2 linked regions of the Pelodiscus sinensis genome follow. The protein of the gene in region 1 purifies or fractionates together with the protein of each later gene. This does not show direct contact. Links are inferred from orthologs where the notes say so. Each region holds a gene or a part of one and is shown in the gene's direction. Other genes may lie near its edges.

Evidence for each region. Proteins that work in one complex are often made in the same cells at the same time.
Region 2: the proteins of organic cation/carnitine transporter 2 (region 1) and YIPF3 purify together in Homo sapiens (co-immunoprecipitation; 3 studies listed by BioGRID and IntAct, counting the BioPlex papers as one, with this or other methods). This does not show direct contact. The link is inferred for Pelodiscus sinensis from reciprocal best matches to the Homo sapiens genes SLC22A5 and YIPF3.

The regions. Positions count from the first base shown.
Region 1 is NC_134727.1:25,339,751-25,343,493, reverse strand, and holds the start of organic cation/carnitine transporter 2, read left to right. Parts: upstream 1-1,285; 5' UTR 1,286-1,441; coding exon 1,442-1,834; intron 1,835-3,743. UniProt on the Homo sapiens protein: Sodium-ion dependent, high affinity carnitine transporter. Involved in the active cellular uptake of carnitine. Transports one sodium ion with one molecule of carnitine.
Region 2 is NC_134713.1:139,252,911-139,256,653, reverse strand, and holds the start of YIPF3 (protein YIPF3), read left to right. Parts: upstream 1-1,216; 5' UTR 1,217-1,333; coding exon 1,334-1,417; intron 1,418-1,648; coding exon 1,649-1,849; intron 1,850-2,207; coding exon 2,208-2,314; intron 2,315-3,153; coding exon 3,154-3,199; intron 3,200-3,743. Other genes in the region: POLR1C (DNA-directed RNA polymerases I and III subunit RPAC1), read right to left, coding at 1-57, 772-840. UniProt on the Homo sapiens protein: Involved in the maintenance of the Golgi structure. May play a role in hematopoiesis.

The DNA.
Region 1 (3,743 bases):
AAGCCATACATATTAGAGCTTAACCAACTGTTTAACTGATAAGCTGATGCTTATTGATTAAGGGTGTCAGTTAAACTCAGCCGGCTTCCTGGGGAGGCAGCTTTGCTGCATCAGGGCAGTGAAGCTGCCTCCCTAGGAATAGGGCAGGCATGGGCCACCTGCTCCACTCCTAGTGAGATGGCTTTGCTACTGCAGCAAAGCCTCATTTATAGAAGCCCGGTCAGCAGTGGCTGGTGGCCCTGCTGCCAGGGAGACTGTGGGCTTTGTAATATAAACAAGGCTAACCTTTATACTGCAGAGCCCACAGTGCATATAACTGAATATTTTTAGTGGCTACACGGTTACCCTATTAAATGCTTTTTAATATCCCTAATACCCAGTGCTCTTTTTTGTGACAGTACGCCCCTGCATATTTTCCCTGCATAACTGAAATGAACTGCATTCCCTTCGGGTGTACCGGCACCTTTTCCTGGGGCGATTTTTTGCTCAACAACTTTCCCCCTGGAATACTGGCACTTTTTTTTTTTAAATAAAACATTGCTAATACCTATGGCATTTCAAAGTGGGGGAAGGGTGCCAGCAAATTGTCTTGAGATGTCTGACCTACTCATCCTTCCTCCGGTGTTCAACCAGTTCTGAAGCAGTAGTTGTTACAGTGGGGCATGACAAATGTGCCTAGTTGGCTGGTTGAGTGTGGTGAGTTAGCCACATGTTTCAAGCCCACTGGCCACCCTCAACTGGCTAAATGTGGCTAGCGGCTAGTATATTGGACACTACCGTCCTACTTGTTACTCGCTGTCTTAAACTAGACTCTAGGGAAGGAGGGCCCTAGGCTGGTTGGCCCTAGATTAGGACCTCACTTTACACAGGGGCAAAGGGCCTGACAAGGGGGGAGGGAGAATCAGGTGCAGACCTTTCAACGGGGGAGAGATGGCAGTTCGACAGGCTTGGGGCTGTCTCCCCTAACCCGGGCCCAGCCCGGGGGCGGCTAGCTCCCCTTCCGCGCTGACAGGCAGTTTCATCCTTGGCCCGCGTTATTCCTGGGGCCCCGGCCTGGCTTCCCTCTGCGGACACGGGGCCTGAGGCGCCCCCAGGGGCGTGGGGCTACGGAAGCCGAACGTCTCCCAGCTCGGGGCCGCCGCAGGGAGAGAGCCTGGGAGCCGAGCTGGTCTCGGCCGCCCGCTCGGGATGGGCAGCGTCAGGCCTCGGCGAGGGGAGACGCCCTCCGCGCCGGCGTCCGCCCTGGCAGCAGGGAAGCGGCTACGCCACCTGTCCCGCCCGGGCCGTGCGACAACAAGCCCCACCCCTCCCGCCAGGCCCGACCCCGGCCGGCGCTCGGGACTCTGCTGCGGCAGCTCCCTCTGCGCGCCAGAAGGGGCCGCGTGTCGCCGCCGCCGCTCCTCCCTCAGCGCCGGGCCCACAGGCCCGCTGCGCCCCCGCCATGCGGGACTACGAGGGGGTCACCGCCTTCCTGGGCGAGTGGGGCCCCTTCCAGCGCCTCATCTTCTTCCTGCTCAGCGCCAGCATCGTCCCCAATGGCTTCACCGGGCTCTCCATCGTCTTCCTGGCCGGCGTCCCCGAGCACCGCTGCCGCCTGCCCCCCGGCGCCAACCTGAGCCGCGAGTGGCTCGACGCCAGCATCCCCCGCGAGGTGCCGGGCGGCCGGGAGGGGCCCAGCAGGTGCCGCCGCTACCGCCTGGCCGCGCTGGCCAATTTCTCCGCGCTGGGGCTGCAGCCCGGCAGGGACGTGGACCTGAGTCAGCTGGAGCAGGAGAAGTGCCTGGACGGCTGGGAGTACAGCCGGGAGCTCTACCTCTCCACCATCGTCACCGAGGTGCGCCCGGGCCGGGGGGCCCGCTGAGCAGTAGGCAGGCGGGGCGTGAAGGCTGCTGGGGTGATGGAGATGTGGGAAGGGCTTTGGGCCGAGAAGCGGGGAGCTGCTGGGAGGGATGTTGGGGGACACGGGGTGGAGGGGAGCACCAGCAATGTGGGGCCAGCGCAGGAACTCAGGGGGCTGGGGCAGGGGGGCTGAGTATCGGTAACCCCTGGAGACTAGCTTGTCGTGCCCCAGGGGTACGGGAGTAACTGGATGATCTGTTGGTTTGATGCACAGATGAGCGATAAGACAAGGAGAGGCTGCGCTTTACTTCCTGGTCCCTGACGCATGACACGGGGCAGTCTGCATGTCAGTCCCTCTGTCATAGTGGGGGAGCTAGTGTCTGCTGGCTGCAGGGCTTGTTTCGCTTGAGCTGTGCTGCGGATGGGAGCCCTGAAGCTCGGTAGAAGGGGAAAAGTGGGCCCATAGTTGCCTAGTGTGTTACAATAGGTATGCTTGAAGGAGGGGAGGCATTGCATGGCCATGAGTACACCTGCCTTCTATGTTTAATCCTAGCGATCTGCTCGAGGGACTGTGTGTATCCAGTACTGGGCACACAGCTAGCTGGAGGGACCTGTTCATCTTGAGTTGCTTACTGTACTGCATCAGCCCTACACTTTTTCCTCTTGACATGAAACAGACTTTTCTCTGATTGTTCGGATCACTGCATGTATTACCTTTATTTTATTTATTTGTTTATTTAGAGATTTCTATTCGTTAACACATCATTGCTATGTAAATATCAGAGAAAACTAAAATGATTACAATAGTGAGCTTTTGTTTAGACTAGAGAAACATACAGTATTGTAGTAATCAACTTTCTATTTCACAGGGTGCTATCAAATTACAAAGACTGTTTATATATGCCAGGACATAGTTTTTGCTGGTCTTATTAAATCAAGTGAAACTTCTGATTTATGCATTTGTGAATCTGGTATGTCTATCAAATATTAATATTTTTAAAATATTGATATTTACAAGTGAAACAACCCGGTTGGCACAGAGAGGTCTGTGCTGCTTTTTGCTGATGATCTCTTTAATTGAATATCTAGATGTCTGCAAAGGAATCCATGCTTGGCTTCTGCAGCCTACTTCTCTTTATATATAGTCATAAATGTATGTGCTGTTTTAAACATTTGGAATGCAAAAGTGCTTGTGGTGGAGAGTGTACAGTTTAATTAGGATTATTAGAATACACAGGCCAAGAATTCAGATGCATGAAAATGAGGAAGATTAGCCAGACAGGAGATTAGTGTAGAAGGAGAGACTGAAAAAAAAGTTACATCATCTCTATCTAAGTTGCTGGAAATGTGTCTATGAGGCAGGAACAGTGATAGTGTGAAAGTTTCTGTCTCTTATGCTGCACATCATATGTAAATTTGTCAAGATCTTGTGATATTTTTTTGCCTGCTGAAAGCAAGAGGAAATGGAAAGAAACCCTTTAAAAATAAATAGCAGGAACAATATGTACCATTGTGCTTCTCTGCAGCAGTGCCTAAAAGATTTCTGTTAACAAAGGAAGTGTGAGCCTCTTTTGATATAACCAGCATACTTAAATTTTGACTTAATAGCTGTCCCAGTGTTAAATTTGGCATATCAGATTTTTTTTTTAAATGAAAGGCCCATGACATTTTTTCAACCACTGAACCAGCCAGTGTAGACAGGGAAAACCTTTTTTTTTTTTTTTTTTTTTTTTTGTTCACAACTGTTATTGAGCATAGGTAGTGACTGATGCTTAAATGATTTTTACAGCTGATCCTACCAATTTTCACCTTCCAGCACTGATGCATCACATTGCTTTTAAAGATCTGCTTTAGACACTTGTTCTGAACACTTTCTAAGAAAACTGTATCTGGACGCTGCCCAC
Region 2 (3,743 bases), on another chromosome or scaffold:
TTGGTCCCAAGCGTCGTCATAGCCAGGGTAGTTGCCAGGAAAGTCCGTGGTGTGAACCTGGAGCAGAGGTGGGCAGTAATTTTTGGGGGTGGGCCACTTCATGAATGTTAGTCATGGGCTGGCTCAACCCCCCTCCGCCAGAAGGGGCAGGGCCTGGGGCAAAAGGGGAGACACTGGGGACTCGCCTCTCCCCGGAGTTGTCTGGGGCTGGAGGTTCTGAAGTAAAAACACCGCAAAGGGCTCGGGGCCCCGGCCCTGCTGCTACCACCACGTTGCCCGGCAGCCGCCCGGGCTTGCTGCGGCCATTGGAAAGGCTCGCGGCTCCGGCCCCTGCCGGGCAGTGCTGCGATCGGGAGTCCCGGGCGGCCGCCAGGCAACACGAAGCGGCAGGGCCGGGAGCTGCAGGCCCTTTAAACAGCGGCAACTTCAAGGGCTCCCGACGCTGCTGCTGCATTTGCCCGGCTACCGCATCTATTTAAAGGGCGCGCGGCTCCGGCCCCTGCCGGGGCAGCACCACAGCTCGTGAGCCCTTTGGACAGGAGCCTTCTGCCCGAGCCGCGCCTGGAAACGCGGGGTCAGGGCCACAGGGCGCGACTAGGAAGCGGCCAGACTCCCTCCCTGTCAGGGGGCCGCATCTTGCCAGCCCAGCCCCGAGCTGGAGCGAAGCAGGGGCCGCGTGCCAGGGGCAAACCGCCCCCAACCGCCGCTCACCAAGACCCGGGCGCGCGCCCGGCCCCCTCCTGCCTCGCGCGCGGCCCCCAACTCACTCACGTTGCGGACCCCGAACTCCCCCAGTATCACCCGGCTCCGCATCTCCTCCACGCCGCCGCGCGCCGCCATCTTCCTGGCGCGCCCCCAGCACGTGACACGGCCACAATCCGGCTCTTCTCTGCGCAGTCGCATTAGTGAATACCCACTGCCCTGTCACGTGATACGGACCTTTCCTTCCGCTTTGGCGGCGCCGGCGCCTTAGCCCGACTTGGTCTTCACCATATTGGGTGTGGCGTTGACCTAAGAAACAGCCACTACTGCTATCGCGGGGTTGTGGGTCTTCGCCGCTGGGTTGACGCTGTCTTGATAATAAGGCACCGCTCTCCCCAGACCCTTCTCCCAGAGGCGCCTTCATGCTCGCTCTTATGCCACAACCAAGATGGCGTCGAGACCTGGTCGCTAGTATGAGATCTCGCGAGAGCAAAGGCGCATCCACGTCCTCGGCCGAAGTTGCCGAGGCTTCTGACGTCAGTCACGTCAGTCTCCAGACTAGGCTCCCCGGAGCCCCTGCAGTGAGGCGCAGAGCGGCCGGGGGCCCCGGTGCCCCCAGCCAACGGGGAGGATGTCCGGGCCCGGGGGGGCGGCGGCGGGCGGCGGCAGGCCCGGGAGCGCCGCGGAATGGGGCGGCTTCGAGGACAATATGCAGGTGCGGGGCTGGGCAGGGAGGAGGGGGGAGCCGGGGGGGCCCTGCGGTTGTCAGCGGTGCGGGCCGCTGCTGTGCCCCCCCCCAACACAACACCCCCCCCCCGGCTCTGCGCTTCCCCGGCTTGGGAGCTAGGGTGGCGCCTGCCCTGCTGCGGGCGCCGCGGCGCTGGGACGGGCGCTCCCCGGCCCTGGCGCTGAGCCTGACTCCCCGACCCTTTGCCCTGGGGCGCAGGGAGGCGGCTCCGCTGTGATCGACATGGAGAACATGGACGACACGTCTGGCTCCAGCTTCGAGGACATGGGCGAGATGCACCAGCGCATGAAGGAGGAGGAGGAGGTGGATGCAGAAGCTGCTGCGGCAGACGAGGAGGATGGAGAGTTCCTGGGCATGAAGGGTTTTAAGGGACAGCTGGGCCGGCAAGTAGCTGACCAGGTGAGCAGAGCGCTGCAAGAGATGGGGGGCGGGCTGTGTTGCCTTCTTGTGTCTGGCTCTGACTGTAGTGAGCTATAGATGTTGAGTCCCATTTTAGGTCCAGGTAGCCATTTCCAATATGACCCTGAGCTATCTCACCTTTGGTTTCTGGGTGCTACAGCTTGAGTCCCATTCTGGGCTTGATGTCTTTTGTCCTACTTTCCCCTAGGCTTTGGATGGGATGCTGATCACTCCAAAGATGTTTAATTTTCATTCTGGTTATTTAGCCACTGGATGCTTTGGTTCCAGGAGATGCGCCTCAGAACGGCATTGCAAAGGGAATGTTTAGTCTGCTACAGTTACTGATTTCTCTCCCCAGATGTGGCAGGCAGGTAAGAGACAAGCGTCGAAGGCCTTCAATCTCTATGCCAACATTGATATTCTCAGACCTTACTTTGATGTGGAGCCCATCCAGGTTCGCAACAGGTGAGCAAACTAAGCACAGGGGCAAATGACTTAGGCCATGCAGTTATCTCAGTCTCGCATCCTCGTATGAGCAGCCCGGTCCACTACTATGGCCCCTTCATGGGGTACTGTGAAAGGCCTGTCATGTATTCCTGGTCCAGTATAACGGGGTAGAGATGCAACCTGAACAGGACAGAAGGGTCATGCCATAAAGTGAGGAGCATCTCCCACTGTTTCTCACATAATAAAGACCTGGATAGCTCCTAACTAATCCACGTCTGCTTATGGACTTGCTATGGAGATAGCCTTTGGGGGAAATTTGTCCAGGATCCTCCCTTGTTTACCCTTCATTATTCCTAAAGGGCTACCCTCAGTTCATCCTGAGATGCATGTTGTTTCATGTATAGCCTAGTGCTGCCATTCTAAGTGTAAGATACAGGGTTTGTGGAGCTGAACCAGCAGCTCCTTTAGCCTTTCATTGTTACTGCTCTTGCATACAGTGTGGGGAAAGGGCATACATAGCCCTACAAAACCTCATCTGTCCCACAAGTGCAACACTTTGCACATCTCCTTTATAATAGCCATGGTGTCACCCTGCTCTCGGGACACCAGGCAGAGAAAACTGTTTGTGCACAGGGGGATAGGATTGCAATACAAATCCTCTTCCCCTCTAAGGCACTGTTTCCAGTCTGGTGCCTGGCTGTTAGTGGGACTGGCTGGCTTTGTTGAGGGTCAGAGGGGAAGAGATATGGAGCTTTGTATCACTGATCAGGGAATGGAATACAGCATCTCCTGCTTCTTGGGTTTCTTGTTAACTTTTTCATTTCCTTCCTCACTCTTGATATTTCTGTGAGGTGCAGACTGCTGGAATCCATGATCCCCATGAAGATGATTAATTTTCCCCAGGTGAGTTCCACTGTGGAGAGCTTTTATTCTATATCCTGAGTAAATGCGCTTTAGAAAGTACAGGAGCACTTAATCGGTTGTTAAATATTTCTAACACACACATCTCTCTATCAGTAGGCTGCACACCTTTGCCTGAGGGGAGTTCAGAAATTCCAACCAGCACCAAGGGGACAATCGGGCCCTGCCCTCTACTCACATTCACCTCCAAGTTCAATGCTCTCTGAAACTGTCAGTTTGCTAAGGAATAAGCCTGTCAGCAAAGTGCTGCTGACACAGTGCTACAGACAGCTCTTGCTCACTTTGTCAAGAAGTGAATTACAGCTGTCTTGGGCCTGAAAGCAGGCTACCCTGGGCTCTGACTCAGACTCCTTTCATTTTGCCTTCCATTCTTTCTCTGCCCCCCTCTCCCAGAGTAGGGAATTAGTTAAAGCACTTTGCCATGCATGTGCCAGGGTGACTGATTATGTATGAATTGTGTGAGAGAGATGTTGTTGTATGGTGCCTCTGCTAGATTTTCTGGTTAATTCCCACTGTACCACACCCC